7 linked regions of the Rattus norvegicus genome follow. The protein of the gene in region 4 purifies or fractionates together with the protein of the main gene of each other region. This does not show direct contact. Links are inferred from orthologs where the notes say so. Each region holds a gene or a part of one and is shown on either strand. Other genes may lie near its edges. The genes, in order: Anapc2, Cdc26, Anapc7, Anapc15, Cdc27, Anapc1 and Anapc4.

Evidence for each region.
Region 1: the proteins of Anapc15 (region 4) and Anapc2 purify together in Homo sapiens (affinity purification with mass spectrometry; 4 studies listed by BioGRID and IntAct, with this or other methods). This does not show direct contact. The link is inferred for Rattus norvegicus from reciprocal best matches to the Homo sapiens genes ANAPC15 and ANAPC2.
Region 2: the proteins of Anapc15 (region 4) and Cdc26 purify together in Homo sapiens (affinity purification with mass spectrometry; 3 studies listed by BioGRID and IntAct, with this or other methods). This does not show direct contact. The link is inferred for Rattus norvegicus from reciprocal best matches to the Homo sapiens genes ANAPC15 and CDC26.
Region 3: the proteins of Anapc15 (region 4) and Anapc7 purify together in Homo sapiens (affinity purification with mass spectrometry; 3 studies listed by BioGRID and IntAct, with this or other methods). This does not show direct contact. The link is inferred for Rattus norvegicus from reciprocal best matches to the Homo sapiens genes ANAPC15 and ANAPC7.
Region 5: the proteins of Anapc15 (region 4) and Cdc27 purify together in Homo sapiens (affinity purification with mass spectrometry; 3 studies listed by BioGRID and IntAct, with this or other methods). This does not show direct contact. The link is inferred for Rattus norvegicus from reciprocal best matches to the Homo sapiens genes ANAPC15 and CDC27.
Region 6: the proteins of Anapc15 (region 4) and Anapc1 purify together in Homo sapiens (affinity purification with mass spectrometry; 3 studies listed by BioGRID and IntAct, with this or other methods). This does not show direct contact. The link is inferred for Rattus norvegicus from reciprocal best matches to the Homo sapiens genes ANAPC15 and ANAPC1.
Region 7: the proteins of Anapc15 (region 4) and Anapc4 purify together in Homo sapiens (affinity purification with mass spectrometry; 10 studies listed by BioGRID and IntAct, with this or other methods). This does not show direct contact. The link is inferred for Rattus norvegicus from reciprocal best matches to the Homo sapiens genes ANAPC15 and ANAPC4.

Annotation. Positions count from the first base shown.
Region 1 is NC_086021.1:28,483,344-28,487,427, reverse strand, and holds the start of Anapc2 (anaphase-promoting complex subunit 2), read right to left. Parts: upstream 2,801-4,084; 5' UTR 2,796-2,800; coding exon 2,637-2,795; intron 2,401-2,636; coding exon 1,778-2,400; intron 1,542-1,777; coding exon 1,409-1,541; intron 653-1,408; coding exon 478-652; intron 1-477. Other genes in the region: microtubule nucleation factor SSNA1, read left to right, coding at 2,963-3,014, 3,188-3,387, 3,751-3,858. UniProt on the Homo sapiens protein: Together with the RING-H2 protein ANAPC11, constitutes the catalytic component of the anaphase promoting complex/cyclosome (APC/C), a cell cycle-regulated E3 ubiquitin ligase that controls progression through mitosis and the G1 phase of the cell cycle.
Region 2 is NC_086023.1:80,872,527-80,876,507, forward strand, and holds the start of Cdc26 (anaphase-promoting complex subunit CDC26), read right to left. Parts: upstream 2,801-3,981; 5' UTR 2,733-2,800; intron 5-2,732; exon of another isoform or gene 1-4. Other genes in the region: Prpf4 (U4/U6 small nuclear ribonucleoprotein Prp4), read left to right, coding at 3,060-3,086, 3,760-3,937. UniProt on the Homo sapiens protein: Component of the anaphase promoting complex/cyclosome (APC/C), a cell cycle-regulated E3 ubiquitin ligase that controls progression through mitosis and the G1 phase of the cell cycle.
Region 3 is NC_086030.1:39,793,849-39,797,614, reverse strand, and holds the end of Anapc7 (anaphase-promoting complex subunit 7), read left to right. Parts: intron 1-699; coding exon 700-850; intron 851-2,473; coding exon 2,474-2,663; 3' UTR 2,664-3,266; downstream 3,267-3,766. UniProt on the Homo sapiens protein: Component of the anaphase promoting complex/cyclosome (APC/C), a cell cycle-regulated E3 ubiquitin ligase that controls progression through mitosis and the G1 phase of the cell cycle.
Region 4 is NC_086019.1:165,672,994-165,677,259, forward strand, and holds the start of Anapc15 (anaphase-promoting complex subunit 15), read left to right. Parts: upstream 1-1,466; 5' UTR 1,467-1,482; exon of another isoform or gene 1,483-2,384; intron 2,385-2,760; 5' UTR 2,761-2,822; coding exon 2,823-2,845; intron 2,846-2,968; coding exon 2,969-3,098; intron 3,099-4,001; coding exon 4,002-4,061; intron 4,062-4,266. UniProt on the Homo sapiens protein: Component of the anaphase promoting complex/cyclosome (APC/C), a cell cycle-regulated E3 ubiquitin ligase that controls progression through mitosis and the G1 phase of the cell cycle.
Region 5 is NC_086028.1:89,911,771-89,915,270, reverse strand, and holds part of Cdc27 (cell division cycle protein 27 homolog), read left to right. Parts: intron 1-278; coding exon 279-431; intron 432-2,183; coding exon 2,184-2,392; intron 2,393-3,500. UniProt on the Homo sapiens protein: Component of the anaphase promoting complex/cyclosome (APC/C), a cell cycle-regulated E3 ubiquitin ligase that controls progression through mitosis and the G1 phase of the cell cycle.
Region 6 is NC_086021.1:136,310,465-136,313,964, reverse strand, and holds part of Anapc1 (anaphase-promoting complex subunit 1), read left to right. Parts: intron 1-1,096; coding exon 1,097-1,183; intron 1,184-1,759; coding exon 1,760-1,855; intron 1,856-3,302; coding exon 3,303-3,500. UniProt on the Homo sapiens protein: Component of the anaphase promoting complex/cyclosome (APC/C), a cell cycle-regulated E3 ubiquitin ligase that controls progression through mitosis and the G1 phase of the cell cycle.
Region 7 is NC_086032.1:62,367,773-62,371,844, reverse strand, and holds the start of Anapc4 (anaphase-promoting complex subunit 4), read left to right. Parts: upstream 1-1,272; 5' UTR 1,273-1,454; coding exon 1,455-1,583; intron 1,584-3,004; coding exon 3,005-3,110; intron 3,111-4,072. UniProt on the Homo sapiens protein: Component of the anaphase promoting complex/cyclosome (APC/C), a cell cycle-regulated E3 ubiquitin ligase that controls progression through mitosis and the G1 phase of the cell cycle.

The sequences.
Region 1 (4,084 bases), on a different chromosome or scaffold from region 4:
TTTTAAGATTAAAATCTTGGGGTTGGGGATTTAGCTCAGTGGTAGAGCGCTTGCCTAGGAAGCGCAAGGCCCTGGGTTCGGTCCCCAGCTCCGAAAAAAAGAACCAAAAAAAAAAAAAAAGATTAAAATCTTTATGCATGTGAGTATTTGTTTGCAGGGACTGTTTGCTGCCCAGATGTATAGGCTCCATGTGGATGCCTGGTACCAGTGGAGGGCAGAAGAGGGTTCTTGATCTCCTGGAACTGGAGCTACAGATGGCTATGAGCTGCCACACGGGTGCTGACAACAACCTGAGTATTCTGTCAGAGCAACAAGCCATCTTAACTGATGAGACATCTCTACAACCTGACACTATATTTTCCTACATGTTATACTTAAGTCCACTCTGCTCAGCTTATCACCCTGCCAACAGCAGCAGGTAAGGCAAAGAAAATGACTGGGAAAGGTAGGTCCTGCAAAGTAAGAAGCAGGACCAACCTCGGATGATGCTGAAAAGCTCCTCAATACGTAGGCTGGCATAGATTCGGTAGAAGAATCTCTGTACGTGACAGCGCCAACGACGCAGTGTGTTCCCAGCTTCTGGAGAAGTTGGTCTGCTGGGGTTGTCCTGAAGGAACACTTTGCCAAGCCAACCAACCACTCTCTCGATCCACTGTGAAAGATCATTAGTATGAGGTGTAATAACATTTAAAAGCTCCATTCTGACTCAGCAACCACACAGCTTCGGCAGGATGCTAGTGGAGCCCCGACCTGTGCATGGAGGCCAGAAGTATCAGATCTACACTCCACTGCCCAGGGTTCAATGCAGCTGCCCCAGGAGTTCCCAGGTTCATGACTCTACACGGCTAACACTGCGGGGACACCCACTTTGATCATTCCCTACCATGGCTAATATGCATCTGCAGCAGACAGACACTCAAAGAGTGGGAGGTATGGACTGAAGCAGAAACAAGGTGCACGACTGCATGGAGCTCAACCTGGCTTCTTCACAATGCTGGGAACCCCACAGAAGAATTACAAACCATACCTCAAGAGTATGGACAACCAGAGGCATTCACTGAGGACAGCCTAGCTCCAGACTGGTTATAGGTTAATCCTGAAGGGAACTGTTAAGTCAACATATGTTTTATAGGACAGTGGAAAGAAAAGGGTCTGGTAGACCTGTCTTGCCACACCTGCCTGAGGAAACTCCTTGAAGCCACCTCTGGCCCAGGATTTAAAGGTTTTATTTTAAATGCACAGACCTATTTGGTACATACCAGATTTGTCCTTGTCACCAGGGTCCAAGATTGGCCTCTATACGGCAGCAAGATAATCTCAACCATCACCACTCCACTGTTTGCTATTAGGTCTACCCCAACCCCATCGTTGCCCTTAACAGGAAACAGACCAAGGAGGAGATTCTCACCTTGTGGAACTCACGCAAGAAAGAGCGCTCATACTCTCCTCGGCAGCGGTCTTCCATCCTTTCCCGGGTCACCTGATGCAGGGTGGTGGTCACGGCCTCAGCGCTAACCCGCTCCAGCAGACTGAGCCTATGCCTGGAGGAGATCCCCGCTTATGGAGAACCCACAACACATGTGTCCTTTACCCGAAGGGGTCTTCCCAGAAAGACACTGTACACACACCCTAGGCCTATGTCCAGGACAGCATACACTTGATACACAATAATCCCTGGTCACAAGTATAGGCGAAAAAGACCTCGCCATCCAGTTTATTAGCTCTATTCAGAGATCTTTTTAAAGAAACTGAGGCATGGCCAGGAAGCAGTACTTACAGGACCTGGCTGAGCTGGTTGAACTGCTCCAGGGCCTGCCGGCACCAGCACTGCTGCTTGTCACTGCCACATCCTGCACACAGAGGGCTCTGCAAAAGTCGGTAGTACCTGCGGCGGGCATACCGGCTGTCCAGCTCTCCCTCTAGTTCTGGATCTGTGCCCCCTTCTCCTTTTCTCTTGCTCTGCATATAGACTCTCAGGAAACGACCATAGAGGCGCTGGACCATCTCCTGGAATGTCCTAGGGGTGGAAAAAAACAGGACTCCCCGCAACATAGTGTGAACTTTCTCCCGAAGACCCTGAGCTCCAGCGCCCATCAGCAAGCCCAGACGAGTCCATTTCTCTAGGAGTTCTAGGCTATGCAGATAGGGATCCAAGCGGCTTTCCAGCAGACCGAACGCATCCAGGAGCAGCACAAGGCATTGGGGTTCATCGACAGAGTTTTCGCGAAGGGAGATGGCATTCCAGAACTCCGTGGCAATGTTGCCTTGAAGGTCATTCTGCAGCACTTCCACGAACCACTCCTCCAGGACAGAGTGCAGACCGTGGGCCCTCAGAACTTCTACCGCTGCACGAAGCTCTTCCTCCTTTGGTGGAACTGCACCGCTGGTCCGGGAAGATGCCTGGAGCACGGAAAACCGTGAGCAGAGGGGCGGAACAGGGGTAAAAGGAGAGGAGGGGTGTGGAAAAAAACAGCAGCCGAAGGGCTGCCAGGAAACCAAACAAATCAGATAGCTGAGGAAGGAGGCAAGCCCACTACGGGCAGAGCACGGGAGCTATGAGGACCCAAGGATGGACTCCCTAAAGGACAAAGTCGTGGCAACTCTGCACAGGCCCGCCAACCTTTCCCCGGCCTCACCAGCCCCAGCGCAGCCGGCGGCACCAGACCGGTGCTCACAGTATTCCAGGCAACCACGAGCTCCTGTCCAGGCCTAGAGTCGCAGTCATCCGTGGCGACAATTGTCGTTGTCGCCGCCGCCGCCGCCGCCACCGATACCGCCACACCCTCGGCCTCCATCACTGTCCACAAAACAGACCCGCCCAGCGTAGCGCACGGTGATGACGCAAGCGCGGGCTGTGGCGCAGTCGTGACGTTCGCTTGCTCGCGCGCGCTGTGTAGGCAGTGCGCAGGCGCGGGCTTGGCGGTGCAGGCGGCGGTTGAGGCTTACGGACGCGGTGCCGACCATGACCCAACAGGGCGCGGCGCTGCAGAACTACAACAACGAGTTGGTCAAGTGTGAGCGTCGGGCGCTGAAGGCCGCGGGGCCGGGGGCCGGCCAACCCACACACTCGGGAGGCTGCGTCGACATGCCTCACGAGCTCCGCTCTGCGGCCTCCCCTCTGTCGTGCTGGTCGGGGTCCGAAGTTCACGAGCCCCAACCTACAGCTCTGTCTTCCCGCCCACCCTAGGCATCGAAGAGTTGTGTCAGAAACGAGAGGAGCTGTGCCGGCAGATCCAGCAGGAGGAGGACGAAAAGCAGCGGCTACAGAATGAGGTGAGGCAGCTCACGGAGAAATTGGCCCGCGTCAACGAGAACCTGGCGCGCAAGATCGCCTCTCGCAACGAGTTTGACCGGACCATTGCGGAGACAGAGGCCGCCTACCTCAAGGTGGGGCTCTCAGATATGCGTTGTCAGTGCCTCACTACCATCTGAGGCTAGGTAGGGCCCATTGTGGTTCAGAGGCTGTAGGCCGGACAGTGGGCTGTTTGTGGGATCCAAGAGAGTGAGCAGTGGTGTGCTGGACAGAGTACCATAGTGGTGGGTGAACTAACTCAGCCTGGCTTTGCAGGGTGGAAGAGCTCTGGGACAGGTGCAGGAGGGAGGATAATTTTATTGCCCCCACCATCCTCCATAACCCGTTGACTCAGCACAGATGGCCAGACTGAGATTCCCATCCTCCACTATCAGAGGCTGAGGCAGTGGGAATCTTCTTACCAGAGAAATAACATCCTTCTATTTCTCTGGCCCCAGATCCTGGAGAGCTCTCAGACTCTGCTTAGTGTACTCAAAAGAGAAGCTGGGAACCTGACTAAAGCCACGGCTTCAGACCAGAAGAGTAGTGGAGGCAAAGACAGCTGACAAGCCCTGTCTCAGCCGTGGCCTATGGCTGCTCCCCAACATGTCTGTCCTAAAGCATCTTTGTTCTCCATGGCCTCAGATGTCTTTTATCTCTGGTGCCCTGAGTGTCAATTTCTGACCTCCACCTGCCTTGAGTGACAAGACAAGCCCCAGGACAGTCCAATGGAAGATGTGTTCCCAGCTCCGCACTCACATGTGTTATTGGAACCTTGAGCTCCTGGTCAGC
Region 2 (3,981 bases), on a different chromosome or scaffold from region 4:
TGTGGGGAAAACACAACACAACAGACCATGCCAATCTAGGGCAAAAACAGAACTCTAAGGAGGGTCCTTCAACAGCACTGCATGAGCATCTAGCCGAGGGTGGGCTGCCTAAGAGTGGCTAGGGATCTCAATTCCCTATGGGAAAAGGTGTCTTAGTGAATTTGAAGGGTAGGCAGACAGACTTAAGGTCAGAGAAGTTCATATGGAGAATGAAGGTTTGTGTTAACAAAGCCCATGTTTGTTTCAGAACAAACACTTGAGCTGGCAGCACCCGGTAGAGTGGGCCCTGCAACTCACCTGGGCAGCAGTAGAGCTAGCCCCGGTGAAAGGCGTGGATGAGGTAGTCCCTGAAGACCTGAGAACAGGAGAGCTGACACTCCCCCTTGCCAGCTGTGGCACTGGGTAAACTAGCTGGAGCAGTGTTGGAGAGTTCACCCGGATGGTGCAGATACAGGTGGCAGGCTGATCAACTCAGCTACCTCCCAGGACCAAATCCAGGGCTCTGAGTTGGCCCACCCCAGCATCTACCCCATCTATGATCTGCACAAGCTGCAGGGTCACATCTCCATGACACAGGGCAACAACATATCTGAGAGGAGTCCTAGTGAGGTTCCAGTATAGTGTAGCAAAAGCCAGAGGCCCTAAAACAGGCCCATGACTCATTGCACTGAATGAGCATTTATAAGTTTAGGTGTGTGGACAAACGGGTATACTCCATGATACACCATGATGTGCTACAGAGTCCATGACAAATTTTTGTTTATTCTATCTTATTTTCTTATTGTAGGGGGGAGGTTGCAAGGGCAGATGCAAAGGGACAGGGAGATGAGTGGGACTGGGGTGGATGATGTGATGTTCACAAAGAATCAATCAAAAGTTAAGAAGAAAACCTAAGGGGTTGGGGATTTAGCTCAGTGGTAGAGCACTTGCCTAGCAAGCGCAAGGCCCTGGGTTCGGTCCCCAGCTCCGAAAAAAAGAAAAAGAAAAAAAGAAAACCTAAGCTGACTTTAGTATCTGTTGAAGGTATTGTCTCTATGTCCTCCACAGCATCCACAACAAAGTAAACTGAGCCATAAAAAATAGAGAAAGTGAAACTAACTTTTCTTAAATTCTAGACTCTCCCATTATTGGTTTTTCTTCTCACTTTGATAACTCAAAAGTTTTTGCCTCTTAAAAAAAAGTTTGTTCTATTTATTTGTTGGGTGCTGGTGAAAGCACATAGCCCACAGGCAGAGGTCAGAGGACAATGTCTGGGAGTTGGTTCTCTCCATCTACTATGTAGGACACCACACTTAGCATGGGCTCCTTTACGACTGAACCAACCCACATTCCCATTCTTTATATTACTTTAATACAGAAGCCTTGGGAAGCTTGAAAAATTATTCCAGTTTTATAAAGTTGAAGCAAACAGTTTAATTAACAAATTCAGAAGCCGGGTGGTGGTGGCACACACCTTTAATCCCAGCACTCTGAAGGCAGAGGCAAGCAGATCTCTGTAAGTTTGAGGTCAGCCTGGTCTACAGAACATGTTCCAGGGCATCCAGGGCTACACAGAGAAACCCTGTCTTCCAAAAAAAAAACAAAATAGCCTCCTATAAAAGTTACTCATAGACCACTAGAATAAAAAGTTGTGATAATGATCTTCGTGAAAGTTCCGCAAAAAAAAAGTTCCGATATAGTGTGCATCCATATAAATTATTATTGCATGCTAGCAGAATGAAACAAAAGACTACGATGTATACGAAACATTTACACTTCTTACACTTCTCTCAGGAGTGTCACATTATATCACATCTCAAGGGGCCATATGGTCAACACAAAACACTGGCCTGTGACAATTCAAACTGCTTTATTCTATCAGATACTACCTTCTACCAGATCCCTAAGTAGAGAAATGGAAGCCAGCTCCAAAGAGAAAGGGAAGAAATACTTAAGAAAAATAATTTCCTACTTGGGTATGAACTGAAAGCCTCACCACTAGAGAGCAACAGTGAGTACGGGTTAAAAGCGCGGCAGTCCACCCGCCACATTACTAACCCTACTACACTGTGGCTCCAGAACGACGGATTACCTTTTCTCACCAGAATTTATTTTCTGATCTTTACTCTTGTTGTCCCGCGACTTAAATAACTAAGATAGAATAAGCTCCTTGCGCGTAACGTGGCATTTAGTAAGCCCTCGAAGTGGAAGTGCTCTTCTAACTGGAGTTGTTCGGGGAAGAAAGAGGCTTAAGAGTGAGAATGAGTCTGTTCAGCTCAGCAAACGCGAATATTTTGCAATCCCCGCAACTTTCATGTAAGGGTTTAAAAAAAAAATATCTCTGACGGCCTAGCAATCATTGCAACTGCAGCTGCTGGTATACACTTTATCTGGCGCCTCCCTGGACCCTTTATTTCAAAGAACATATAAAAAGAACAGGCTGTAGACAAGTAAAACAACAACAAACTAGGCCGCAGCTCCTCCACCACATCTCTATTTTAGCCTTAGAAGGCTCTTCGAGTTTAATGTCTTCTTAAAGCACAAAATCACTTCGTAGCCACCCAGTTACCAGGGGCCCCCGGAGAACTTCCGTCGTGAACAACAGTCCTCTTTCCCAGCTCCAATGCTGCAGAAGTCTAGGGAGAGATTTCAATGGCAGCACAGGCCTCGGTTTCAAAATGACGGAAGGCCTCCCGAAGGAGAGCAGAGACCCTTGGTTTGTTCCAGATTAGACTTGCGATTCGCAAACTTACCTCTTTTCAGGCCTCTGAAGCTTCCCAGAACCTCAACTCCCACCTTGACTCCATTGCTACGCAGCCCGAACTACACTTCCCAAGTTGCTCTGCGCCTTTTTTTCCCACGCGCCTCTTCTCCCGAGAGGTTGTGCCGCTCTATAAGGCCACGCCCATCGATGACAGCCGACACTTGGCAACTACCACTCCCAAGATACTTCGCGACTCCTAGAGCACGAACTGGTACATTTCCGGCCAGTGACGCACTTCCACTTTGCTAGGCGCGCGGTTCCCGGTCTGAAAAGCAGAACGGGATTTGGCTAGGGCCTCGCGGCTCCAGAGCCCGGCATGGCCTCCTCACGAGCCTCCTCCACGGTACGGAGTTCCGCATCTAAGTTCATGCTTATCCTCTCCTAGGGAGGACGCGGTCCCCGTGGGAAAGGGCCGTTACCTTACGGGTCCGGGCAGAGGAGGAGGAGGAGGAAGGCTGGGGGACCGTGGTGTGGACCTTAGCAGCCTTTTCCTGATTTCTAAACGCCTAAACTGCAGCTCTTTTTGCACTGCTCTTACTTAAGCCCTGAGCAGTGAACAACACTTTTTCTGACTGCTCCAAAGCACAGTTCTTTGAAATCGGGCAGTGTCTTGACGTAAGCTGTACGACTGGTACTTATGAGGCCTCCCAACTTCTAATAGGCTCTGAAAGTATTTGAAATGTGTATTCCAGTAACATTGTGACTTGGTGCGCCGAATTGTTTGGGTTGTTTTGGGTGTATGTCCAGTGGCGAGAAGTTATTTTCGTAAAATCGGAGATTGCATTTCGAATAGATTAAAGTAACAGGCCCCAAAACAAACCAAGACATATCAGACAGAAATTGTTTAATTGTAATTGTGTGCCAAATTTAACGAGAGCGTGAGCTCGGCGCAAAGTCACTTTCGACTTTGTCCTAGTTGTGAGAGGAAATAAAATGAAGGCTCAGCATTTCCTTCATTCTTTTGGAAAGCATGGTTTGCTAGGACCAAACCTTAATCGGGGTCTTTGATTTAACAGACAACCAAAACTAAAGCACCTGACGATTTAGTTGCTCCTGTTGTGAAGAAACCACACATCTATTATGGAAGCTTGGAAGAGAAAGAGCGGGAACGCCTGGCCAAAGGAGAGTCTGGGATTTTGGGAAAAGAAGGACTCAAAGCCGGCATTGAAGCAGGAAATATTAATATAACGTCTGGTAAGATGCAAGTTGAAAATCACACACCCCCTCCCCCCCTTTTT
Region 3 (3,766 bases), on a different chromosome or scaffold from region 4:
ACAGATGGTGGAGCAGTTCTGCCTGCACCTGCCTGAAGTGCTGTGTGTGTCACACCAGATGTGGCTTAGACCTGCTTAGGTTGGTTTACACCAGTTAACGTTACTTGGTAGCTGGTGAACTCATCTGGTTGGTTTAGTTTTGAACTCGTTTAGTGTGTTACAGCTGACTTTGGTCAGTTTGGTTCTGAGCTATCTGGATTCTCTTGTTCTTTTTGCTTCTGGCATATTCCTAAGTTTATTTGATGCTATCAAGAGGGTATTTTGGTTCAGGGTTCTAGTTCAGGGCCATTGGCCTCATCTGGTGCTGGCCTGGTCTGCAGAGGAGTTCCAGGACAGCTCGTCTGCAAAAAAAAAAAAAAAAAGTTTTTTTTAAAGATTCAGGGCACAGACTCAGTGGCTTGGGTAAAGAGGCCACCAAGACTGACGACCTCAGTTCAGTCCTCAGGACCTGCGTGATAGATAGATTGTCCTCTGACCTCCTCTCATGTGCTGTGTGTGCTTGCCCACACCACTGTATAAATAAGTTCATGGATGCATGGTTTTTAAAGACACAGTACTCATGTCATTTCCCAATGAACTAGAGACCACATGCCCCTCACCCCTGCAGCGCCCCTTTGAGGGGGTCTCTGAGAAAGTTGTCGTGTCATAGTGGGTGTGACTGTGCACTAGCTGAGCAGTAAAGGTTGTCTTTCTCTGCAGGCAGGGAGCAGAAGTACGAAGATGGAATTGCTCTGCTGAGAAATGCACTGGCCAACCAGAGCGACTGCGTCCTGCACCGCATCCTGGGGGACTTCCTGGTGTCTGTGAATGAGTACCAGGAAGCAATGGACCAGTATAGCATAGCACTGAGGTAGGTGCCCGGCCTCCATGGGGAGGAGAGGAAAGGAAGCAGGGCCCAGGCAGCTCTGCAGACAGCTGTGCCCAAGGTGAAGGCAGGCTAAGAATAGCAATGAGAGAAGGTATTTGCAAATTCATGACTCCTGACATATTTTCCTAAAGCATATTAGAAGAATTAGAGATGATCATCCTTCTCCAGCCCACATAAGAGTAACACCCAGACTGATCTGTGCGGCTCTCCTGTGCTTGCCCACACCCCCATGACGTCATAGGCTTATGCCGAGTACATATTTTACATTCTGCTTTTTATGATCAGAGTTTGCTAAGTGTGTGCTTCTGGTTTTGTCTGCTCTAGTAATTAAAAACTTAAATTCCGAAGTTTGAGTACAGCTTCTACCTGTTATCTTGGTCAAATACTAACCAATTCCCTGTCTATACCTACCTCATTGGGCATTAACTAGGGGTATCAAGATAATAATTGCTACATAATCGTGCAGACCCAAGTTCGATTCCCAAAACACATGTAAAGGTTGAAGGAGAGAATTGACTCCAAGGTTGTCCTCTGACGTGTGCGCCATGGCTTTTACACAACGCACAGACAATGTGTGTGTGTACACACAATAATACATTTAATTTTTTAATGTAAATTTCTAGGACTTTTCTTTTAAAGCTTTCTTAGGAGCCAAATAAATGAGGCTCCTGGGCTCTGGGCTTCATGGTGTTGCTACTAGTGAAACTGTCTTAGTCCAGCCCCTAGCCTCAGGACTTATGATCTGTCCCAGAGTGTAGCATGGTTGACGGCGGTGGCTGCCTGCAGTCCACGGTATAAAGTCACATGGAAGAATAACCAGCCTGGGGCAGGCTACATGCAATCATCATGTACCCGAGGCTGCCCGGGTGTCCTGATCCTGTTTCCCTCCTGGATGTGCTGGGCTGTGTCCTGTGCCTGGCCTCAAGCACCAGGCCTTCTGCGAGCACCGCTGCTCTGTCTGGTCACTGCCCCCGACTGCCCTCACTGCCTCCCCTGCTCCCACTGCCTCCCCTGCCCCCACTGTCCCCACTGTCCTCCACTGTCCTCCACTGCCCCCACTGCCTCCACTGCCCCCACTGCCTCCCATTGCCTCCACTTCCCCCACTGCCTCCACTGCCTACAGGAGAGTTAAGGGCTTGGTATTTGAGGAGCTTTAAAAACTTTTTGGAGGAAAATTTGAAGTTAGAATTTTTAATTGCCATTTTAAAGTGAATTGTTTATTAATTTATTTTATGTGGATGGGTTTGCTTGCATGAATGTCTGTGGACCATGTATGTGCCTGGTGCCCAGAGAGGCCAGAGGAGGGTGTCAGATACTTGGGAACTGGGGTCACTGTTGGTCATGAGTCATATATGGGTGCTGGGAACTGAACCCAGCAACAGATGCACTTGACCACTGAGCCACCTCTCCGGCCCCTTCAAGTTAAAAGTTCTAAAACTCCGAATAATGTCCCTTTTCATCTCTGATGGACTCCCTGGGTCCAGCCATGGAAGCACAGTTGTTTGCAACGTCTCTGGCTTAGTCATATCTGCTGGGCCAGCTCAGTGACAGTCCCAAGAAGCAGGGCAGAGACTCAGGCCTGTCTTCTGTTTTGTTGTTCCTCAGTTTGGACCCCAATGACCAGAAGTCCCTGGAGGGCATGCAGAAGATGGAGAAGGAGGGGAGCCCCACAGACGCCACTCAGGAGGACGACGTGGACGACATGGAGGGCAGTGGGGAAGAAGGGGACCTGGAGGGTAGCGACAGTGAGGCAGCCCAGTGGGCTGACCAGGAGCAGTGGTTTGGCATGCAGTGAGGGCACAGCGGTGACCCTTGTGTCCCTAGAGTGGCAGGAGCTGTTGGACGTGTGCTCACAGCAGGCCTTTCTGCCTGTTTCCTCAAGTTGGCACTGATGTTTGTCCGTCTGCTTTGCTGTGGACTGAGCGAGTTCCGAGCCACAGACTCGCCATTCTGGATGGTTCGGCTGCACGAAATGGAAGATGCTTTTTCTCTTTATGAGCGGGTACATAGGACTGAGCCATCCTCTTAAGAGCACATGCCCCTGGGTGGCCCTGTCAGAGGTTCGGTCCCTGGGAGTCACATCCTGGTACGGCCACACTCCTGTAGTCATGGAGCTCTGGATGGGGGGGGGCGGGCTGTGCCTCACTGACTGCAGAGCAGGCTCGGCCTCAGTGGGCAGATCTGAGAAGCAGATGATGGGAGCATGGCCACCCCAGGGCAGGTTCAACTAATAAAACTGCCCAGTGTGGTGTCACATGTCACAGTGGACACCCTTTGAGACTCTTCCTTTTTCCTCCTTGTCAGAGGCAGCCATGCAGGCCTAGACAGTTTGACATACATATACTCCCTATTCTCCCATGTGCTGGGAGGCAGAGCCCTGAGCTTGTCACACAGAACCAGCCTGGCTCTTTCCTGAGTCCCTGAGGGCAGGGTCAGCCTTGATCATCTGCCTAGAGTCTCATTCAGCTACTGGGGATGGGTCGACTCCAGGTCCCTCCTGGGTGCCTTTCAAGATGCAGATCGGTGTGCTAGGAAGAAATGAGGTTTACTGTAAAGAATCCGTAGTCGATTTCAGAGCATCTGTCAGTGCAGTGAAGTGGGCCACGTAGTCTGGTGGAAACATTCCGGAAGCCTGCACTTGGGAGGCAGAGGCAGACAGTTCAAATGTGCTGGGCTGCACTGCAAGATTTGCATTAAGAGACATAAGTTAAGCGGACCAGGTCTCATAAAGTGTGTCAGTGAGCCTCAGCCTCCACACTAGCCGGCCCTGAGCAGTCTCAGGCTCCCTTTGAGCAAGCAGCATGTGGGTGGTGCTTTTCCTGACTCCACCCCGCCAGCAGCCCCACTCACCAGTCAGTGCTGAGAGAAGGCAAAATCTGTTCAGCCACAAATTGAACC
Region 4 (4,266 bases):
TCCTGACAGGCTGGATACACCTCAGGAGGGCAGTTGAATTTCCCAGAAATAGAATGTGGGGGCCAATTGCTGACTGATTCCTCAAGGCTGTTATATGTATTCTGAGGGCAATTAACATGTTCACAGATTTATACCCAGCTTATATCAGAACCTGAAACAGACTTCACACAAATACTTTTTGTCCAACGCATACATAAAAAATGAGAAAAGCCAGGTGTGGTGTCACACACCTTTAATCCAGGCATTCAGGAGGCAGCGCCAGGCCAGCCTGGTCTACAGAGTGAGTTCCAGGACAGTCAAGGCTACACAGAGAAACACTGTCTCAACAAACGAACAAAAAAGAAAACAAACAAACAACAACAACAACAAAACAAAAAACAAAGTAGTGGATAGATGAAGCACTGGCTGCCCTTCCAAAGAACCCAGGTTCAATTCCCAGCACTGATAGATTGGCTCACAACCATCTTTAACTCCACTTGGATTCCAGGGATCCGCTTCTTGCCTCTATAGGCACCAGGCACGAACTGGTGCAAATACACACACACACACACACACACACACGCGCGCGCGCTTTCTTTTTTTTTTTTTTTTTTTTTTTTTTAAGATTTATTTATTTATTTTGTATATGAGTACACTGTAGCTGTCTTCAGACACACCAGAAGGGGATATCAGATCCCATTACGGATGGTTGTGAGCCACCATGTGGTTGCTGGGAATTGAACTCAGGACCTCTGGAAGAGCAGTCGGTGCTCTTAACCACTGAGCCATCTCTCCAGCCCACGCGCGCGCTTTCCAAACACTCATACACATAAAATAAAATTTTAAATAGATAAAAAGAGGCCAGCATGGTGTTATACAGTTTTTATACCGGCACGAGGCAAGGCCCGAAGATCTCTGACTTCGAGGCCAACCTGGTCTAGTGAGTTTCAGGCCGGTCAGGAATACGCAGTGAGACCCTGTCTCAACAAAGAAAAGCAAATATTGTGGATATGATGTAGCTCCGTGTCAGAGGCCTGTCTAGCGTGTTCAAGGTAGCCTCTCAAAAAGAAAAGAATGTATTCATACAGGAAACTGAGTCTGAGAGGAACAGAAGGGAACAGATGTTCCTGGAACGCAGCACACACAGGATCCTCACAAGCGAACACTTCTGGAAACCATTATATTTCGAAGAGATTTAACACTCAGACACCGCCTAGTGACAAGCGGGCGGGACTAAACGGACGCTGGAGAGGGGCTAGCCTGCAGAAACCAGGCCCTTGAAACTCAAGGCGGGGCCGATAGGTAGACGGAGCAAATAAATGTCCTCCCCCAACCTGTACGTAACTAAGGTACGTCAACATCACTTCCGGTGTGGTAGTTGAAGCGGGAAACAAAAGGAGACGGAAGACGCATGCGTTAGTGAGTCCCGGATTCTGGTGGGTTCTTCCGCTCAGGTCTGGGGAAGCGCTTCCGGGTCGCCGCCGGCTGCCGGCTCTTGGCGCGGTAAGTGCGGAAACAAGACTACTGTCGTCTCCTTGCTTGTTCTTTCTTCCGGCTTTCAGAGAAACCTAGTTCCTTTGACTCGCCTCCCTAGCAGCTCATTTTCCCCTTTTTTACTCTTAACGACATCCTACTCATTGGCCGCTTCCTAGAGTCTAAGCCCCACCCATCACACATGTTCCGTCATGCATTGGTTTCACTTCCTGTCACCCAGCATTTCTTTCAGTTAATTGGCTTCAGCCAGGCCGCGCGCATTTTGCGATTAGCATCCCTATAAGGTCTAAATCCTGATGAAGACCCGCCCCTGCCTCCTTCTTGTTGGTCAATCTTGCAGTCATTATCATAATGAGCAAAGAATGGGCGGTGGTGGGTAGGATTTTAGGATACAAAATCTGTCAGTACTTTTGGGATGGGGGTGGACGCTTTTTTTCCTGTCACACGGACCTGGGAGGCTTTGGTTTAGGGAATAACAGCGTTTAGTTCTGCGTGGGTCAAATTAAGTTAGAACCAAAGCTAGAGTAGGGCCTGGTGTGGTAGCTGGTGTACGCCCTTAATCCCAGCATTCGGGAGCTGAGGCATGCTGATCTCTGTGAGTTTGGGACTAGACTGGTCTATGTTGTGACTTCCATGCCAGTCAGGGCTAAATAGTGAAACCCTATCTCATTTACTAAAAATAGGGGGAAACACCAAGGTAGACACCTAATTTATTTTTTCCTGTGCCCTTCCTACTTTACTGGGCCAGGATCCCTTCCTTATATATGTTTTAAATCCCCACCGAGTGTGTGGCCGAAGTCAAGCTCTAACATGTCACTGGGTTTGTGAGCAGATGGGTTTTAGTTGAGCTTCTCGGTTACCTTCCTGGTCAGCAGCTTCAGCCCACAGAGTTGATTTTTTTTCTCTTACATGTTAGTTCATTATTCATTCTTACACTAGTTTGTTTTTCTATTTACTCAACCCTCCTAGGATATCTTTTATCCTTGGTTGTGTGTACTGTAGTTTGGTTGGCGAGAGAGGTGGTTCGTGTCTGAAACATTTTGCACTGGTTGTATGTGAAAGAGCAAAAAATAAGTTTTATGGTGTGTGTGTGTGTGTTTGTGTGTTTAAAATGAATTTTACTAGGTCTCTACTATCGCTAATTTTGTACATGATCACAATGTCACATTCCGTCTCTGGCTCCCAGTCTCTTCTCTCCTCAAGCAGCATACAGCTTTCATTATTTTATTATTTTTTGTCATAATAACTTTGAGGATGATATAATTTTAATTATCCCCATTCTTACAGATGAGGAAACTGAGGCCCAGAGAGGTTAAGTGTATTGGCCAAAGTCAAACAGCTAGTAAGTGATGGAGCCAGGACTCAAACTCAGGTCTGTCTGATTTCAAGAGGGAAGGGCAGCTTCTCTGCTACCTCCCGCTCCACCCCATCCCTATATCAAATTACAACTGCATCGGTTCAAAACAAAACGTGTTCACGTGACCCTTTCCCTCAGCTTAGGAGCCATGTCCACCTTGTTCCCTTCACTCTTTCCTCGTGTGACTGAGACACTGTGGTTTAATCTGGATCGACCCTGTGTGGAGGAGACAGAGCTGCAGCAGCAGGAGCAGCAGCATCAGGCCTGGGTGAGTGAGGACCTAGCGAAGCATGGAGGTGCACCACCTAGGATATGACCTTGCCGTACACTGCTTAGGAAAACATTTGTCACTGTGTTGGGAATACTCAAGCTGGGTTCTTGGGGATAAAGGTCTTACTTTGTGGTACCTTAACTTGCTGAGGGACCCTAGGACTTTGGGGCTAGATTAGATAGATGGCAAGCTCCTGGCAGCCTAAAGGCTTTTCTGTACATCACAGGACTTAATCATTTAAACTCTTTTTTTTTTTTAAAGATTTATTTATTTATTTATTTATTTATTTATTAATTATATATAAGTACACTGTAGCTGTCTTCAGACACACCAGAAGAGGGCATCAGATCTCATTACAGATGGTTGTGAGCCACCATGTGGTTGCTGGGATTTCAACTCAGGACCTCTGGAAGAGCAGTCAGTGCTTATTTATTTATTTATACACTCCAGATTTTATTTCCCTCCTGGTCCCTTCCCCCAGGGTTCTACATCTCATACCTCCTCCTCCCCCGCAATCATCCTCCTTCTCCACAAAGATGTCCCCACCCCACCCACTCCACAGTCAGTGCTCTTAACCACTGAGCCATCTCTACAGCCCATCATTTAAACTCTTAATGAGGACCCACACAATGCCATATTCTAGGCTGAGTGTCTCATTTCACCCTCACCAGAATTATATGAAAACACTGAGGCCAAAAGACTTTACATATGCCCATCTATTTTATAAGGAGCAGATGACAAGAGAAAGGGAGATTGAATCCTCCTGAGAACTGGGGTCGGGGGAGAAGCTTTGTTTCAACATTGGGAGTCTGGTAAGGGGCAGAATGAGCCAGTCCAGTGCTCCTAACCTGCTCTGCCTATGCCGTGGCCCTACTTTTCCCCACACTCCTTTGCCTACAGCTCCAAAGCATCGCAGAGAAAGACAACAACCTGGTACCCATCGGCAAGCCTGCCTCCGAGGTGAGTGGTCCTGTGGTCCCGTGGGTGGGCTGTGTGAAGACCAGTGGACAAGGCCTTACTTTAACGGCCTTGCTTTTGGCTCAGAACAATTGTGGTTTTCAGTCTGGGCAGACAGTGAAAGTGAGAACTCGAGGGCTAGGCATTGTGCCTAGTTAGTACTAAGGTCCTTCAGGTCATGCAGCAGCTTGCCACACTCAAGGCGGGC
Region 5 (3,500 bases), on a different chromosome or scaffold from region 4:
AGGTCCTCTGTCGGGCAGCCATTGCTCCAGCCCCATCTTTGTCTTTTTTTTTGTTTTTTTTTTTTTTTAATAGAAATTTTTTTTCAGACTTTACATCTTTATCCCTAGTTAAAATACAGGAACTAGGCTAATGCCTCAGTATTTGACCTCTCACAGTGATTTCTCTCCATACTGATTCCCATAAAGCACAGTCCTTGCAGAAATTTGGTCCTGTGACGACAATAACCTGCACTAGTCTGTCTGTCTGTACAGTTCACTCACTAGTTCTTTAATTTTAGGCTGAAAGAATATTCTCAGAAGTTAGAAGGATTGAGAGTTTCAGAGTTGAGGGTATGGAGATCTACTCTACAACACTCTGGCATCTTCAGAAAGATGTTGCTCTTTCGGTTCTTTCAAAAGATTTAACAGACATGGATAAGAATTCACCAGAGGTATGCTAACAGCAGTCTGTTTTACTCGTTTAATTTTTGGGTGCAGTGCTGGTCTGGAACCCAGCACTGTAGGTATGCTAGGCACATAATCTTTGACCCCAACATAGCTTTTGATCACCAGAACAAATATAGTCCTGTATCACGTAATGATACATTCTGGCAAGTGCATTGTTAGGTAATTTTTTGTCATTTTTGCAAAGTGTCATAAGATATAATTACAAAACAATTGAGTTATTCACTACACAGCTAGTTTGTTACTAACTCTGGACTTCATGAGGTTGTTTCAGAAAGACTCTTCTCACACATGCCAAAAAGCCATGCTTGGTGACTCTTGGTTGTCACTCAGTTCTTGGAAGGCCTGTCCAGACAGCCAAACAGAACTTCAACCTTCAAAAAATCCAACCAGATTTTGTGTGTGGGAGCACATACATGCCATAGTGAGTATATTTGGATTTTAGGAGACAACATTTGAGAGTCCATTTTTCTTTAAATAATGTGGACTCCAAGGATTCAACTCCAGGTCATCAGGCTTGGCAGCAAGCCCTCTTACCCACTGAGTCGTTTTGCTGGCCCTTAATTGCCATTTGAAGACAGACATAGATTGATTCATATGTACTAATCTTGTAGTAAGTATTTCAGGACATTTATTTGAAGGTCTTTGTTCGTCCCTGGTGTCAGGACCTTGCTGTTTTCCCTAGGCTGTTCTTTAACTTTTGAACCTCTCATTCCCACAGCCGGAATCACAGCCACTCAGATGGTTTTTAGTGATACTTTAGTGAAGTGCACGCAAACCTGGATTCAAATTGCTGTTCTCTTCTGGCCTCTGTAAACTTCACAAGTGTACAAATTCACAGGAGGACAGATTAAATACTAATATTATTAAATACTGATATTATATCATCTTTAAGAAAATTAAAAAAAAAAAAAAACATGGCCAGTAAGATAGCTTCAATAGGTGCTAGGGAGATGGCTCTGCCGGTGAAAATTTGCTGTGCACACTGGCGCCCTGAGTCCTATTTCCAGAACACATAGTGATAGGAGAAAACCAGCTCCCTGAAACCATTCTCCTAAGCCAATTGTGATGCCACATGCTTTTAATCCCACACTCAAGAGGCAAAGGCAGGCAAATAGATCTCCAAGTTCAAAGCCATCCTGGTGTCTACTAAGTGAGTTCCAGGACAGACAAGATTACACAGAGAAACTCTATCAAAGAAAAACACTCTGCTCTAACCTGCACATGTGGAATTTGTGTATGAGTAAGAGTTTTTAAAAAGAGAAAATCATAGTCAAAAATTTGAATTTCTTCAGGGTTTTGTCCTGTAAATAAAATCTGAGACTTGATTTTGTCACAGGATTGGTTTTGTTAAAAAGTAAAATAAAAATTTGGTCAGAGAAATGGCTTAATGGGTAACAATGGTTGTGCTAACATGAGAACCTGAATTTGAATCTCCAGAACCCACATAAACGCCAGGCATAGTGTGGTTAAACTGCTGGATACCAGCACCTCTACAGGGAGGAGATGGGAAGCAGAGACAGGCAAACCCTGGCAAGCTTGCAGGCAGCTAGCCTGCTGCACACCACAGACAACACAGACCCTGACTCAAACAAGCTGGAAAGCAAGGATCCACACTCACACCACACACAGTTTTTTAGGTCAAAATTAAATTAAAATTGTAAGTTACTTTTGACGATAGTTTTCTTTATAGAGCATAAAAACTTTTAACTGACTAGTTCTTGTTTCTGTTTTGTCAGGCTTGGTGTGCTGCAGGGAATTGTTTCAGTCTACAACGGGAGCATGATATAGCAATTAAATTCTTCCAAAGAGCTATCCAGGTGGATCCAAATTATGCTTATGCCTATACTCTATTAGGACATGAATTTGTGTTAACTGAAGAACTAGATAAAGCATTAGCATGTTTTCGAAATGCTATAAGAGTAAATCCCAGACATTATAATGCATGGTAAGTAAAGAGACAAAGTCTTACTAAAGATCGTTTTATTTATTTAATTTAATTTGTGTATATTGTGTCTGTATGGGCTGTGTGGGCCACAGCAAACAGTGGAGGTTAGAAGAGCATTGCAAGCCTTTTCTCCAGGCTTGGCAACGCGCACCTTTACCCAAGGAGTGGCTCTTCTTCTTTTTATGATTTTTTTTTTTTAGGTATGCCTATTGTGCTCGTATATATGTATGTATTACGTACATCACATGCAGGCCTGGTGTCTTAGTTAGGGTTACTATTGTTGTGACAAAATTCCATTACCAAAAAGCAAATACGGAAGGAAGGGTTTATTTGACTTACACTTCCATATTGCTATTACTCCTCAGAGGAAGTCAGGACAGGAACTCAGACAGAGTAGGGCCCGGAGGTAGAAGCTGATGCTTGCCTTACGTACATGAAGCCCTGGATTCTTTCTATTCTAGAAAGTAAAGTCTAAAAATTTAGAAAAGAGACCAAGAAAAGGTACTATTAGGTAATAAGAAAGGACAAAGTTTAAGCAAAAGGATACATGAGTTAGGAAGCAGATATAAGACTTGTATTTTTCAGTTTCAACCCTACTGTAAGTTTTTTGTTGTTCTGTTTTGGATTTTGTGGTAGATGTGTTAACTCTTCCTTTGTACTGATATTCATATTCGAAGAACCATTTTTACTTTCCAAATGAATCCATGTGTTATTCCTTTGAGACAGTGATGATGAAAAGTTGGTCTTTGTTTTTTTAATTTTATGAACCATTAACCCAATAGAAACTAAACATCGCTGGTCAGTGAGTAGATTGTTGCATTCACCCAGGTAGAAAAAAAAGCCAGGTGACGGTGGCACATACCTTTAGTCTCAGCCCTGAGGAGGCAGAGGCAGGCCAGGCAAATCTCTGAGTTTGAGACCGGCCTGATCTACAGAAGGAGTTACAGGACAGCCAGGGCTACACAGAGAAAACCCTGTCTTAAAAAACAAAACAAAAAATGTTCAGGAAGAAGAGTTTTTCTAACCTGCAATCCCCACCCCATTTTTTTCTTTTGTTTAAACCACCCTATATGGTGTTTTATTTAATATGTAAATTATATTGCTATAT
Region 6 (3,500 bases), on a different chromosome or scaffold from region 4:
CCAGTGTTAGATGTTCTCTTACTGAGCTGTAACCCAGGCCCAGCCATACTGTGCGGTTTCTGTGCCCCAGTCTCCTGAGTGCTGGGATTATAGGCAAACACCACCATGCGTGGCTATACTCCACTGAGGGGAAAACCCATATATTAAACCACACTTGTTTCTTTAATCTTGATGACAGCTTATGTCTTGCTTTTTAGTTTACTATTTCCTAGTACTCAGCTACAGTAGTGTTTAAAATGAAAAAAAAAATGGTTAAAATGTGAGTTAAAGCTCTTTACTGTGAAAAGTTCAGTGCATATTTTGTGTTCTAGAATTCATTTCTGCCGTTAAGAATGTGTTCTGTAACACATCTAGCTTTAAACTTGGGAATTTAATCTCAGATTTAAGGATTTCAGGGCAGAGGTTTGTTGAGGAGCCTCTGAGTACCTGGATCTCAGGCCACACAAGCAAAGCTGTGTTAGCTCAGCCGCCGGGGGCAGCCACTTTCACTTCCTTTCTTCCTGAGTAAGGAGGTAACAGTTCATGTAGTCCACTTACATCTCATCTGAACCGCTCAGCCGGTACTGATCTTCCTCACAGCCATCGGGGTGTGAGTGTACGGAAGCCCCAGCCTTGATGTCAAGTGTGGATTGTTGCCAGAATATTTTGAAGATTTTTTTTTCTGGCTTAAGTTAGCATTTTTTTTTTTTCTAACAGAACCTGCATGAAAAGCTAATCCAATTGTAAGTTTGAGCTTAATTCTGAATATTGAAAGTATATAAATATTAAAGGACAGCTCAATATCTTGCCTTCTGGGATTTCAGAAGTAAAATAGGAACCTAACCTGAAGTACTCCATTTTCAGTTTTGAGTAGTTCATATGAGAGAAGACATGTTTATTACTGACCTTTTGGTAAATCAACACTTCATATTACCTTTGCAAAAGCTTGTAACTTCCTAACAGAACAGGATGACAGATTCTAGCTTGTTTTGTCTTGTGGGACCATTGTGTGAAAGGAGGGGGTAGAGTTCTTATAACTATAGGCCTTATAGTGTGAGCAGAAAGGGAAGTAATAATTGGTTATCTCATTTAAAGTGGGAATTGTTTTTCTTTTTAGCCAGAAACAATTTCATCATTCACTTCTGATCCAGCACTTCTGTCATTTGCTGAATATTTCTGCAAGCCGACTGTGAGCATGGGCCAAGTAAGTATTATATTGTTTTATTGTTTGCCGGGCACCAGGATAAGACTTTGTTAGTTCTATCAATAGACAACCAAAATCACCTGTACTATTCATGCCTGCCTTTGAGGTTGATGATATCCTTTATGTGTGTTAGAGATTGCTGATAAAACCTGTGCCTTCTATTGCCACCACCACATCTTCCTCTCTCCCCAGTCCCCTTGTGGATGTGACTCTGAGAACTCCATTTACCTGGGTGTTGTTTACCCCTACATCTCTGTTGGTGCTGTGCTGCCTTTCTGGATCCCACTCCCAGCTGACTGAAGGCTCGTCTTTGTTGTTCTCACAGATTTTTTTTTTCTTTTTAACCCTAAATTGATCAATTATGTGCCAGATCACATGCTGCTACCTCAGCATTCTTTTTGTGTTTTCAGTGATGTTATAACACTGTTTGGACTATGACTTTGTGAAGAGATGAACTGTTTACACTGTTTATCGTAGAGCTTCAGAATGAGCTATTAGTAGCTGTCACAGGTTGTTTCTTGAATTGGTTTTGTGATATGCTTTGATGTGCTACAAAGTACTTGTGCTTTCCCACAGAAACAGGAGATTCTGGACCTCTTTTCTTCCATACTTTATGAGTGTGTTGCTCAGGAAACTCCAGAGATGTTGCCTGCCTACATAGCAATGGATCAGGTATGATTCCAAAATCATTTGCATTCTGTTGCAATTGTATTGATGATGTGCTTCAGATGACCCACTACACAGTGTGGGAAGATCCCTATGGATTCAGTTTCTTGTTTACTTTTAGACATCTTATCAAGAAGCCATTTCCAGTTGACAGCCCTATGCTGATGCCCAAAGGCTGGACTTTGTGCTAGCAGGCGTGCTCTCTGGAGACTGCCTTCCTCTTGGGAGTCCCACATCCCTTTCTGTCTTCTTCCCTTGGTTTGGAGAGGAAGAGATCATTTCCTTTCTTGCTCTAGTCCTCCTGTGTCATCTCTTGCCACCTTTCTTCATGGGAAGGCCACAGATGAGTAGCAGGTGAGCCCTGTGTGCCCTGCTGTTTGCCTGGATATGCACTTCCACCTCCTCGGTCAAGTCTGCAGGCAGTTTAGAACCAGGAGCTGGTGATTTAGGGACATTGTGTTTATTTTTATTCTCTTGATATTTTGTAAGTGCCTAACAGGGACATAATCTGGCTAAAATTAGTCTGGGCAATCTTAAAATGCAGATCTTCAAATCCTGTTTCATACCTTCTAAGTTAGAATCTGGTGGGCAAAATCTAGAACCCATAGTTTTAAAAATTCTACAGTAATATGAAAAGTGTATAGATTGGCATTTGGGACTCTATTCTCAAGCCAAAGAACTAATCTTTGATGATAAAAATAATCTTGTGGATAACTGAGTGGGAAAAGCAATTAGGCAAGAAACAACTCCCCAGGCATGAAAATCACAATATGTAAAGTCGCACTCTGCATTTCAGCAGGAGCATAGGGCCAGCCAGAATGTGTTACCGTGTGGGTCTTCTCTTCTCAGTTGCAGAGATTCATGGTACTGTGCTGGTGTTCTGCGTGCTGCCTCTCTTGGCACAGCAGCTAAGTTAGGCTTCTTGGTTGTTAGTTAAATGTTCTCTTCTCTTTACAAACTGTGGGTACCCTCATCCCTCCACCATCTAGAGCAGTCTCCATGGATGAATGTCTCCTCTGGTGGTAACCATGGTATCTTTATGGGTGATTCTTAACATCAGTGTGATCAGTGATTAGGTCTCTGCCCCACTGGGATTCCTATCTGTCCCTGCTATGTCATTGTACCCCAACTTCTTCCCCAGAGATTTATACCTGTGTGTGTGTGTGTGTGTGTGTGTGTGTGTGTGTGTGTGTGTTGGGGAGGGGTCTTCATCATTCAGGGTTGCTGAGCCAAGAATGGACTTGACCTTTGTTGCTTTTACTTGGAAGTTGCCTTCATGTTAAGCCACACTGGGGAGGGCTCTTTAATGTAGTCAATGACACTTCAATACCCATGAATCTCCATAGCCTCTTGCTGATCTTGTTAGCCATTTTGGAACATACCCTGAAGACAACGTGATTAGAACAACTTGCCATTTCATTAAACAGACTGTTCTTTCTGTCTCTTTACACAGGCTTTAAGAAGTCTTAAAAAGAGAGACATGTCGAACACATCTGATCTTTGGCAGATAAAGTTGATATTAGAGTTTTTCAGTTCACGAAGCCACCAGGAAAGGCAGCAGACCTATCCTAAGCGAGGGCTCTTCATAAACTCGGAGTTCCTACCTGTGGTGAAGTGCACTGTTGATTCCACCCTGGACCAGTGGCTACAA
Region 7 (4,072 bases), on a different chromosome or scaffold from region 4:
ATTGTTCTGTTCCTCAGTGGATTCCGATGAAAAGTGGTAACAAAATCAGATATAACTCTAAGAGAAGCCACTGGAGGAGAATGGAGCTGGGTTCATAAGCATTCACACAATGGCAAGACTGAGGGTTTATACTGAACTGAGATCATCGATCAGTCCTACCAGATGGATTTCAACAATTTTAACCTGGAGACTTGCTTGCATCTAAATTAGGGTGTTTGTTCAGTAATAACATTTAGAACCTTTCAAAAAAAAAAAAACTACTACACATGACAAAATGTAGACTTTGCTAAGAAGGATGAGAACTCTCCCATCTTGCAGGATGGTCTTTGTACTTAAAACTGTCCCCCAGAGAAGTTGTGATCAACATATTGATTATTGAAGTTGCCTGGCAGTCAGTTTCTGTCCAAATTTTCTCACAAAATTGAATGTTTAGATAGCCATAGAATAAATCCTGCTTCCTCTTAACTGTGGTGAGTTTGTTACAAGTTAAGTGATTATTTAAATAGGATGAGAAGTCAAACTATTTGTCCCGTGTCCGGGAGGGTACAAACACTTTAACATATTTTTCTGTAAACAGTGTTTTGTTTTGTTTTTAAATGTTAATTTCTGTCCAATGTTAATTCTCTTTTAGTTTGCTAAACTTCTGCCTGATAGAGAGGGCTTTTTGTTGTTTTAAATTCTACTGTGCAGCCAGCGCTGAAAACTACTATGAGTGTCCCAAAGGAGGTGTGTGGATCGGGAGTTTTGATTAGAGCCTAAACCTGGAACAATCAAGGGATTATCTGCATTGAAGCAAATTTCTGAACAAACGGCAAAGACCTTAAAGGGGTTCCCACTATGAGTGTCCCAAAGGAGGTGTGTGGATCGGGAGTTTTGATTAGAGCCTAAACCTGGAACAATCAAGGGATTATCTGCATAGAAGCAAATTTCTGAGCAAACGGCAAAGACCTTAAAGGGGTTCCCACTTGTCCGCGTATACACCGTTAAGGATCCTTTGGAGCTTGCTGGGTACTAGGCAACCCAGAGTAGCGGACCTTCAAGGCACTAGAGCTCGCTCCGCCCCTAGCCACGCCCAGCCACGCTCCTCTCACTTCTAGCCCCGCCCACCCCTGCTGTAGCCCAGGCCAACTTTGCCTTAGGCACTCGCTTGCCGCGTCCACATAGCTCCGCCTCATATCAAGCCCCGCCCAAGTGCGCAGCCCTGCGTTCTCCCCGCCCCACCTGCGCGCCGCCGCTTTGCCACTCACTTCCTCTCGCGAGGACAACCTAGCGTCGGCGCCGGAAGCTTCCTCTGAGCGCGGAGGGCGGAGTGAGAGGGCGGGGAAGGCAGCTGGCTAGGAGTAGGCCGAGTTTGAGAGTCTGGCAGGTACCGCTGCTGGCAGGGCTTTGCGCCAAAGCTTTGTGGCCGGGTGCTCCGACGGCCTTCACGAGAGCGTCGTTGCAGGGCCGCACCCATGCTGCGCTTTCCGACCTGTTTCCCATCCTTTCGGGTGGTGGGAGAGAAGCAACTGCCGCAAGAGATTATTTTCTTGGCCTGGTCACCCAAGCGAGACCTCATTGCTTTGGCCAACACTACAGGCGAGGTAAGTGAGCTGGTGAGAGTTTGCCTATGCTGGGACTCTCGAGCCTCAGTTTCCCCTTTCGCAGACATGTTGAATCACATATCTATCCTGTCCCTACATCTCAGCGTGGCTGTTCACTTGAAGAGAAAGTGTAAAGGACCGTGCCTGCCAAACATGGTGTATATTCCATTTCCTGTATGGCCAGAAGAACAAATTCCCTCAAAGTTCTGCACACACAGGTCTCCATGAATTGATTTGGCCAGGGATGCAACATCAGACCCCGCCCAATTGGCTTTCAGATGAGTAGAGAATGAAGATGAACTGTCAGGTCCAACTAGAAATGTGTGTGTGTGCACGCGCAGTTGCTACGGAGGATGTTTGGTTTTGAATTTTTATATTTTTGTTACATCTAGCTATTTAAAAGATCTTTAAGTTGAGAGGCTGTGCTTCACAGAATTGCAGACAGAATGTGTATGAACATCGTCAATTAGCATTTCTAACATTAGAAACGTGAACACTCAGTATCAAGTATAACCAGAACATACCCAACTTTTTGTGGGGGAAAATTATTACCTGGCAGCCATCTTGAAAGGAACCCTTCAGCTGTGCCATTTAACATCTCACCTATGTAAAACTAGGTGGTAAGGAAGTCCTAGCATCCAGGGCAGTTTCGTGTGCCAAATTGCATTATCGTGTTGTGTGTCATGATGGCTCTGTCTCTAAGATCCATGGCTGGTGACAAAGCTAAGAGCAGTCATGGTTGTTATTTTACTATGTCACAGCTACCTTTTGATATTGTTTCTGTTACTTCTTTTGTTTGTCATCTGGGACAGCCTTCTTAACCTTTTCAAAAAAGTAAGCTTAAAAGATATGAAAGGGGCTGGAGACGAGCTCAGCCATCCAGAGCACATGCTGTTCTTAGTGATGACCTGGGCTTGGTTCATAGCACCCACATGGGTACTCGCACCTGTCAGTAGCTCCAGTTCCAGGGAGAACTGATGCCCTCTTCTGGCCTCCTTGGGCACTGGCTGCACAAATGTGATATAAATATATACATGTACACACGTGTACTTTTAAAAAAAATGAAGGCCGGACAGATGACTCAGTGGTTAAGAGCACTGACTGCTCTCCCAGAGGTCCTGAGTTCAAATTCCAGCAACCATATGGTGGCTCACAACCATCTGTAATGAGATCGATGCCCTCTTCTGGTGTGTCTGAAGACACCTACAGTGTACTTAAAAAATGAAAATATGTAGAGTGCAGGTCTGAGTTGTGCCCTCTGAGTTCATCCATTTCTTTGAAAATGTCTTACATTCATTTGGACACAGTTGCTTTGTGGACAGCTAAATACTCAAAAGTGGTAATTAAAGTTTGTGTTCTGGGGGTCTAGGTTCATTTTATTTCTGCAGATGAGTTTCTGCTATTACATCTTTTCGTCTTAGGTTTTACTGCATCGCCTTGCAAGTTTTCATCGCGTCTGGAGTTTTCCACCAAATGAAAGTACAGGAAAAGAAGTGACCTGCTTGGCCTGGAGACCAGATGGCAAACGTATGATAATGCTACGAATGTGTATCTTTTATTTTCAAAAAGGATATTCTAAAAAGAATACATTTTTCTTGGCACATTTTAGAATTATGGTTTTGTTTCTGTTATATAGGTCTTACCACACAACCCCGACTGACCTAGGACTTGCTGTGTAAACCAGGCTGCACTAGAACTTACAGAGACTCACCTGCCTCTGCCTCCCCCGTGCTAGGCTTAAGAACATGTGTTACCTACCATACCTGGCCCTATATTAGAATTGTAAATACTAGTTTGAGACTTTTTCTTTTTAGAATGTTTAAAATATTTTTCGTGAAAGTCTGTTGTTGGCAAGGATAACTCTTTATCAAGCCCTGGCTTTGTGGCAGATAGGATCGCAGTCTGACACAGTTATAGACCACTTGGCTTTGGTTCTCTCTGCTCTCTTGTCCTACATCATTTGACCCAAGTACCGTTCACCACTCATGGGTCAGTTCAGTGCCATCACAGCCCTTTTCTCCCCCAAATTCAGTTGGCACTAAATGTGAGGTTCATAAATTTTCTCTATGTAAGGCAGTTTACCACTCCCGAGAAACCTCCCACTGGGACTCCATTTCCCACAGGTCTTTTCCTGCTGTTGTTGTTCAGATCATTCATCTTGCATGGGTGTGTGTGGGGGTTGCATGCGTGTGTCCAAGTGGGTGTGGGTGGGTATGTGATTTGTTTAGTTTTTTAAATTGATAGTTTTTTGAGCAGTTATTCCAAGTGTTAGAATAGTAAAATGCTATGGGCTACAGCTTGTGGTCTGTAAGTCACATAGGGCTCTGAATAACAATGAATGTGGCCCATGGCCCAACACAATTTTTTTTTAAATATTTATTTATTTATTTATTTTGTGTATGTAAGAACGCTGTCTCTATCTTCAGACACACCAGAAGAGGCCATCTGATCCCATTGCAGATGGTTGTGAGCCACCAAGTGGTTGCTGG